Linked DNA regions of Oryzias latipes. The protein of the gene in region 1 binds, or shares a complex with, the protein of each later gene. Links are inferred from orthologs where the notes say so. Each region holds a gene or a part of one and is shown on either strand. Other genes may lie near its edges. The genes, in order: ribosomal protein S6 kinase alpha-3 and bmf.

Evidence for each region.
Region 2: the proteins of ribosomal protein S6 kinase alpha-3 (region 1) and bmf are in contact, whole or in part, in a crystal structure (PDB 8R58), measured with the Homo sapiens proteins. The link is inferred for Oryzias latipes from reciprocal best matches to the Homo sapiens genes RPS6KA3 and BMF. Residues at the interface, in NP_004577.1 of Homo sapiens: Trp252, Phe259, Phe268, Leu281, Ala283, Lys284, Leu285, Gly286, Met287, Pro288, Leu299, Arg300, Phe303, Lys304, Arg305, Asn306, Asn309; in NP_001003940.1 of Homo sapiens: Glu8, Leu10, Glu11, Asp12, Asp13, Val14, Phe15, Gln16, Pro17.

Annotation. Positions count from the first base shown.
Region 1 is NC_019878.2:2,760,046-2,763,859, forward strand, and holds part of ribosomal protein S6 kinase alpha-3, read right to left. Parts: intron 3,475-3,814; coding exon 3,368-3,474; intron 3,233-3,367; coding exon 3,195-3,232; intron 3,104-3,194; coding exon 2,961-3,103; intron 2,567-2,960; coding exon 2,496-2,566; intron 2,197-2,495; coding exon 2,108-2,196; intron 756-2,107; coding exon 691-755; intron 623-690; coding exon 520-622; intron 432-519; coding exon 322-431; intron 1-321. UniProt on the Homo sapiens protein: Serine/threonine-protein kinase that acts downstream of ERK (MAPK1/ERK2 and MAPK3/ERK1) signaling and mediates mitogenic and stress-induced activation of the transcription factors CREB1, ETV1/ER81 and NR4A1/NUR77, regulates translation through RPS6 and EIF4B phosphorylation, and mediates cellular proliferation, survival, and differentiation by modulating mTOR signaling and repressing pro-apoptotic function of BAD and DAPK1.
Region 2 is NC_019880.2:14,506,537-14,510,813, reverse strand, and holds the start of bmf (bcl-2-modifying factor), read left to right. Parts: upstream 1-1,178; 5' UTR 1,179-1,395; intron 1,396-2,718; 5' UTR 2,719-2,897; intron 2,898-2,976; 5' UTR 2,977-3,003; coding exon 3,004-3,175; intron 3,176-3,791; coding exon 3,792-3,994; intron 3,995-4,277. UniProt on the Homo sapiens protein: May play a role in apoptosis. Isoform 1 seems to be the main initiator.

The DNA.
Region 1 (3,814 bases):
CCGCACAATCTCACACACACACATACACACAAACACAGCCAGGGACAATTGAGGGTTATCAGTTAACCGGTGAAGCCGGAGTGCCTGGAGAAAACCCACGCGTGCACCAGGAGAACATGCTAACTCCACGCAGAAAGAACCCAGCAGGGATTTGAACCAGGACCCGAGAGCACCAACCCCTATGCCAGCGTGCAGCCCCCTAAATGTGAATTCATGATCTGTGAAACATTTTGTCGACGGTGTTGTGACGGCTGAACTCGTCACCGCTGCTGTCATTGCAGAAGCTCAGTTCTGTGGAGCGTGCACGGAGCGTGCGCGTACCTGTACGATAGCGTGAGGCAGCGGCTGTGTCTCCTCCTCTGTGATGGCCACGAAGCTGAACCCCCTGAAGAGCTGGTGAGCGTTCGCACTCGGAGGGACCCCTGGAGAGTCTGAGGAGCACAGAGAGGTGAAGCAGGACTTGTTGGAGGAGCTTCAGCAGGGAGGGAGGGGCAGGAGGAGCAGGGGAGGGGGGGCTACCTCTGGGCGTCTTAGCTGTGAACTCTGGATCAAAATAGAAAGTGTCGTCGGGTCGTCCCACGGCCGGCTTGAAGGGCGGATAGATCTCTCTGCGGAAGAGTTTCTGAAGACAGACGGTTAGTGAGAGAGGAAGGGAGGCGGGATGGGAGGCTGTTGGACGGAGGAACTGACATTCCAGTCGATGGTGTGGAAGAAGTGATGCCTCTTGATCTCCTCCACGCCATCCGGTCCGGCTCCTGAACACAACCAGAGGATCGGATGAAAACCAGCTCCTTCCTGTGCGGGTCTGTCTTTACGCTCCCAGGCTTCCAGTTCTTTGCCGGGGGGGGTGGGGGTGGGGGGGCATGTCCACGATGCCCATGAGGAGGCGTGCTCCATTTAGGGGAGGAGCTTAAATGCCCCGCCGCCCAGCCGTACCACGGGAGTTTGTGTTTTGACAGCGATGTGAATCCTTGGGTGACCGTGGGTTTGATTCCGACTAACGGTCAGTCAGAGTTTAGACACAGTTTGGATAGAAGTGCAGATAGTTTGGAGATTTAGGAGAAACTGCTGTTTACAACAAAAATGAATGCCTGTTTTGCTTTCCTGAAGTCACAAAAGCAACACAACCACAGTGACAGTCCATCCCGTCTCCATCGCTTCAAAGCTTAATGGGGCTTCATCTCGCCGTCACTAATCTCTATTGTTTGTTCAGAAAAATGTAAGCTCAAGTAGAATAAAATACCTAAAACCTTAAATAGGGTGAATTGTTTTTTTATTCATAAAAGGACTATGATAAAATATGTTAAATCTGAGAAATCTGATAATAGTCCATCAGCAGCTCGGTTACCATGGTTACAATGGTGCACCACCTCTCTTCCATCAAACCTGTTTAAAGACGAGAGAATCGAGGTAATGAGCTTTTTGCCTCTGAAAAGCATGTGCCGTGTCTCTGCTATGACACCATCAATGTGCGAATTTGTAGTTCTTCACAAAACTACCTCAAACAAGCACACAACACCAAAATCTATCTCTCATGGATGGGATAGATCCTTCATGAGGTGTTCGCTCTCATAAATTAACATGTGTTATCAGTATTTGTTGGTGTTCCTCCTGTTTTTATGTTTCACATTAGCGGTTTGAGATTTTAAAAATCCCCCTTGTTGTCTGTTATATTAGAAAAAGTTCAGTGAGACAGTTTTTTAGTTGTAATTTGGTTTTTAACTGCACCACAATGTCATGAATTCATATGAAAATATCTAAATATGAGACTTTTTAAATCAATTATTGGGTTAAAAATAATTGTAGTTGAGAATAGATTAATAAGCAACAGGTCACGATTAATTAAAAAGACTCGCATGACAGCATTAAGAGATTCATCTGCTGAAGAGAGACTCCTTTATAGTTAACGCTTTTTCAAGCTAAACCTTTCTGTCTTTCTGCTGTTTGTATTTTTTGTTCTGTTGTCAATAAAATGGGATCATTTAAGTCTTTCAGTTTCGTTCCTTTCAAATCTAAAATACACTGAGGGTTGTACGATACAAAAAGACTTAAAAGGAGTTCCATCTCCAAGAAGCATCCCAGCATGCCTTGCGCACAGATGTGTTACCTAGTCTGTTTCCAGGGTTGCGCTTGAACAGGTTCCTGAGAAGACTCTGAGCTTCTGAGCTGAGAAACTGTGGCATTCCCAGCTTGGCTCTGCAAAGACGGAGAACAGAGGAGGTGAGCTGAAAGGCGGCGGCGGCGTGACGCTTCGGCATCGAACGTCCGTGCTGGAGGTGGAGCGGGAAGGAATCTGAAAGGCTAGACGTTGAAGTAGTGTTTGTGTCCTCTTCTGGATCCCCCGTCTCCGTTTCTCAGTGAACATCCGGGCGTTTTCCCGGATGTTCACTGAGAAACGGAGAATCACAAGAACACAAAAGGAACCTCCTCTGAGCCTCCGTCTGGATCGTTTTCTACTCAAACTCTGCTCTCGTCCTGGGTTTGCTGCGACTCACTTGAGGATCATGGTCATCGTCTCTTTCCGGTCTTTTCCTTGGAACGGCAGCGTTCCCGTCAGCATCTCAAACTGGAAGAGAGAAGGTTTGGCATGAGAATTTGGAGTCATGTTGGTCATGATCTCACAGGCTTTCTGTGCAGATTCCTGACAGTTGAACCAAAAACTCCCTTTGATAGGCTCACAGGACGCCGTCACCGTTTCCTAAATGTCTCAATTCAGACTCAGTTTAACCGCTTCATCCGTTTGTTTCTAATTTGCAGCAAACCATTAAATCCAGGACTGATTTTCACATCACCTGGAGCCTAAAATCATCGGAGAATTTTTTCTATATGATTGTAAATTACACCCAGGAAGGAAGGGGACCTTGAACTCTTGAACTTGGGGAGATGTGACCTCTGTTCCCTTCAGCACATCGCCAGCAATTTGGTCTGCAAGCAGCCAGCAGGGGGCAGCATCTTCTCACCATTAGCACGCCGTAGGACCACCAGTCGGCGCTGTGCGTGTGCCCCCGCCTGTTCACCACCTCCGGAGCCATGTACTCCACCGTCCCGCAGAAGGAGTAGGCCTTGTTCTCGTGGTCTATCGACTCCTTGCTGAGGCCGAAGTCTGAGCGCACAGACATGAAAGCGGGAAAACCGGATGAGAGACGGCTGACGGCAGCACAAGACAAAAGACGCGGGGGGAGGAGGATGCGCACCGGTCAGCTTGATGTGTCCATCCTCGTCCAGCAGGATGCTGAAACGACAGAAATGTTGAGGGAGCAGCAGCAGGAGCTTTAAAGATCTGCTAATCTATCTTGGTTTGGAAGCAGGAAGCCACAACCAGCTGTGATGCTGCATGAGGGGAGTGCGTCTGTGTGGGTCTGCTTACTTCTCCGGTTTGAGGTCTCTGTAAATGATGCCGAGGCCGTGGAGGTGGTCCAGAGCCAGAGCGAGCTCTGCCAGGTAGAACTTCACGTCTTCCTCTGTGAACATCACCTGCATCAAACACAAACATTCATCAGGCCGTACTTCATCAAACCTGAGGATGGATTTGTCGTGTTTGTTTGGCGAGAATCAGACAAGTGTGGAGAAATCTGCCCAAACTTTTAAGGACATGAATGTTTCAAACTGAGTTTTACCAACTAATCACCTACTAAACCTGAAACACCTGCACAGATTCCCCACACGTCATTCAATGGTTCAGTTTGGTTCAATACGGGGAAGACTACAACGCTGTGTGCCATCCGCCATAAAATTCAGACGCATCCGGGAGATGAGTTTCTGTCGGGGTCCTCGGGTCAAGACACTTCTGAACCTGGACCAACGGAGGAAACGT
Region 2 (4,277 bases), on another chromosome or scaffold:
TGGTAATTTCTTATTTGTGATTTTTTTCCCCCCAAGCATATTATTTTTTATCTTAAAAACAAATACCACTGAAAACTGTCCAGATAACAACTTTAATATGCAAGGTTAAATAAATACATAACTGTTCTTTTTTTAAATAATGCACTTAAAGCAGTGCAATGATTAATTTCTCCTCCATGTTCAATTTTTAAACAAGTGGGACCTCTGTTAATTAAAAAAGACGCCATACCTTTGACCCTGATTGGTCAAAGTTCAACTGGTTTAACTTTCATCATGTGTTCAAATGCCAGGCATTTTGTAGATACAGCCCAAAAACAGACTTAAAATCTTGCATTGTTGAGTGTAAATGTTAGTTTTGAACATGGAAGCCCGAAACGCGCATATACGCACGTTTATGTAGACCTTTCAGTTGAAGAGGTTGCTTTTGTATGATGGTGTGAACAAAGCAGAAGATACACAACTCATGGTTCCTCTGGTCACGTGACTGATAGAGCAGCTTAATATGCTGTCTGCTGGGGGTGTCGCTCACCTAATAACCAAGCAAAATCTAGAAATGATAGATACACTTTTATTTTCTCATGTATTAATTAGTAATTGATAAATTAATAGAGTACTCAACACCCAAATTGCTAATATATGGGTATCTGTATTTTGACATCAATTCTCCCATAAGTTGGGAGGGACTTTTTTTCTAGAAACGCTTGTCTTCTTATAAAATAGACTTGTTTTTGAAATAAAAATTAAAAAGTTGTTCTAAAATAAAGTGGAAAAAACTTTAAAAGATGTAAATATGTTTGACTTAAAAAAAGAGTTAAATTTGTTTAACGTAGTTCAAAAAATAAAACACCGGGTTTTAAATAGTCAGTTCGGTTGAAAATAAAATAGAAGCTAAAAAAAAGATCAAGCTAAACCATATATGGCAGATTTGTCAAGCAAATAAAGCATTATGCCTCCACTGCTATGGTTAGAGACCAAGGCAGCGGAGGACAGACAGGCCTTCTAGCACATGAGCTGCGTAGTAGCGTGAAAGCGGTCTCGTGCTCCGGGGAATTTCCCGTCCACGTGTCTGAAAACACCGCGGCAGCGGCGGCATATAAACAAAGGCAGCCATTGGCTGGCGCGCGCGCACGTAAATCATCCTCTATTTACTAAAATTCAGCTCCCGCCCACTTGGCGGAGTCATCTCAGGCTGACGTCGGCGAAATCAGTCCGACCGTGGCAGCGCTCCTCGCAGAATGGAAGTAGTCGTTGAGGAATAAAGTCGTTTGACTTAGCAGGATTTTAAGACTTGGAGTCCTATTTTTTTTAGAAGTTTCTTTTATTTTATTGTTTAATTTTCGCCACATTTAACCCCAGAGTGCAGGACAAGTGTTTTAAACGCCGCCAGTCTTCTCGGTAAGAACAGCCTCCAAACGTTCAGCCGCTTTATTAGCTTTAACGAACTGAAGGGAAACTTGTTGTTGTTACTTGAAAAAGACGCAACACAGCTTTTTGTGGCGCTTGGAAGCGGCGCGCGCTTTCGCTGTGCTCTTCTGTCGTACAGTAAGATTTGAAAAACACCGGCTTTCCCGGCTGACACAGCACCAATGAAGTCAGCGCGGCCGGTCTCTGTCATGTGTCTGCACTTTGTTGTGTGACAGTCACCTTTTTCAACAGAAAACACTCCGTAAAGGCATATAAGCACGCAAATAACCGTTTATGACGACATTTCCGCCCTAAACTTTTGTTTGTAGCAGCAAACGTAATAGGTTGGTTTACTTTTTTTCTGTTTGTGTGTGTGAGTGACCCTATTAGGTTTCGATTCGGAATTAAATGCCCTCAACTGCACCTTTTGTCATAAGGCAACTTTTAGTTGTTGTTTTTTTTAATTGAAATTTTGATAACGAGAGCAATATTTATCAAGTTTGTGCCACTGATAGCTTAATGTTAGAATGAAGAGGGTGTCATGATGTTTATGGGCATAGAAGATGCATCTACCGTGGAGCTGTTGCTCCAAAACAAGCCCACTATAATTGACTTTTGTATTAAAATGCGCCCCCACCAGCAGGGGGAGCCACTGCATGACATAAAAATGTTTGTAGTCAAAATAGCAGAAAATATACATTTAAAGTATTTTGCTGTTATTATTATTATTATTTTTTTATATTTAAAAAAAAAGATAAAGTTAGACTTCCACGTGTTTGAGTCTTAGCAGACAGGAGCTGAGTGGAGTTTAAAAGAAAAGTTCAAAAGCTGTCAGGGAGAGTGGTAGGACTTTCCTCAGAAACTGTCATTCCCTCTTAGCTGTGATCCCTCATTTGGAAGCGTGATACCAGTGTGACCCTGTATTTACAACTCAGTGGTAACTTGGGTTTTGCTGCTGAGGCAAACATGAGTTTCACCCATGTTTTGATAACTTCTTGACACAGATTCAGGGAGTGAACTCCAGGATTCAGGGTGAACTCCAGGGCATCAGTGACTTTAAGAAATTGCTTTAGTTTTGTACTTTGTATACCCAGTTTTTGGATTAATGTTTTTCATTGAAATAGAGAAATAATATAAGAACTCAGTCATTCAGGGAAAAAAAGATAATTTTACGTTTTCTTTTACCAAGTTAACCAAGCTAGCTTCTATGTTACTGTGGCTTGATTGACTTCTAACCGCAGTGAATTGTGTGGTTTATTCACTGAGCTGAACAGACTCATTTGTTTAAATAAACGCTGAGCTCTTTACTTCCAGAGAAAGCAGAGCAGTCGTTTCATTTCCCCGTCCACCGTGGTTTCATTGATCGGAGCTCGCTCCATACAGGCCAGACAGGTTGTCTATAATGATAATGAGTGCCTCGGAGGAGAAAAAAAGAAGCAGATAATGAATGCGTCTGAGGTCATCTCTCCAGATCTGACGTAGATTTATTCAAGGTTTGTTAGAGAGAATGCCCTTGGTTTGTGGTGTTGCCCACAAATGCGCTCATTCTCTATTCGCCATATCGCTTTCAAGGTCACTCGTCTTGCAGTGCCCCCCCGTATGGACGATGAGGAAGACGATGTGTTCGAGCCGGACCCCAACAAGTGGCGCACGACAGCCAGGAAGATAAAGTGTGAAGACCGGGGCACGCAGACACCCGGTCCTGCCCTGGTACCAAACAACGGCATGCTTCTCTGTGGACTTGCAGAGGAGCCCAGACCACTTTTCTACGGTGAGGCTGATGACACACCGTCTTTCAAAAGCAAAAAAAGGGGAACATCGCCTGGTGTGTGATAACCAGTTATAAAACTCCGGCGCAGAGGCATAATGTGACACTTGATGTGATAAAAGCGCAACAGTGTTGCAGCCCTGAGCTCTCCCCTGGCGCCTGGGAGTCGTCATCAAACTCAGTTTTTTATGGCCATTGTGGCGTGTTACCAGCTGCTTTGCTATTCAGAAGGCGCCAGGCCGGCTTTGGGACAGGTGAGCACTGTGACAGCAGTGCAACAACTCCTCAGATAAATCATTATCAGTAGCAGCAAAGCTATGTTGGTGCCATATATGAGCAGTCATGCCGGAGTAGTTCCATAACAACTAACTGCTGAAGCCCTTTTGGGTGTCAGTGACCTATAAAACTATTATGTGCAATAAAACCACAGCTGGGGAAATTGTTTGTCAGCCGGGCAGCTTGTTTATCCAAAGAGACATTAGTCATCACTTGGAGTAAAAAAAATCTTGGTACCTGACATAAAGAGAGGTCTGTCAGGTTTCAGTTCTGTGTTTAGTTTAGTTTTTTCACCGAACACGTTGTTTACGAGATATTAAGTATCAGCTTTGACACTCAACAGGTAACGCAGGTTTTCGATTGCACTTCCCAGCACGCTTTGAGCTTGCTGGGGATCTTGAGGTGAGGCGGCACGACAGGGAAGCAGAGCGGCGCGGGATGGAGCGGCTTCCCCGGCAGCAGCCTGTGGCACGCAGCACGGAGGCCTGCATTGCACAGAAACTCCAGCTGATAGGGGACCAGTTTCACCGGGAACGCCTACAACTGGTGAGGAGAAGGGAAAAAAACAAAAACAAAAGGAGCCTGCTGACTGTAAAAACTCAGGACTGATTTCCTGGTAGATAATGTCAGCAAACAAGTACTTTCTACGTTTGACATGTCAGCATTGTGCTGTGCACTGGGTAACCTGATTCCCTGACAGATTTCACCTTTGACTCAGATTCTTCACTCTGGATTCCACTAGATTAGGATTCAATTTCATTAAATCACTCATCACGTTAAATTTGGGCATTAAATGTAATAAATAATATCAGACTTTAGGTAACTTAAA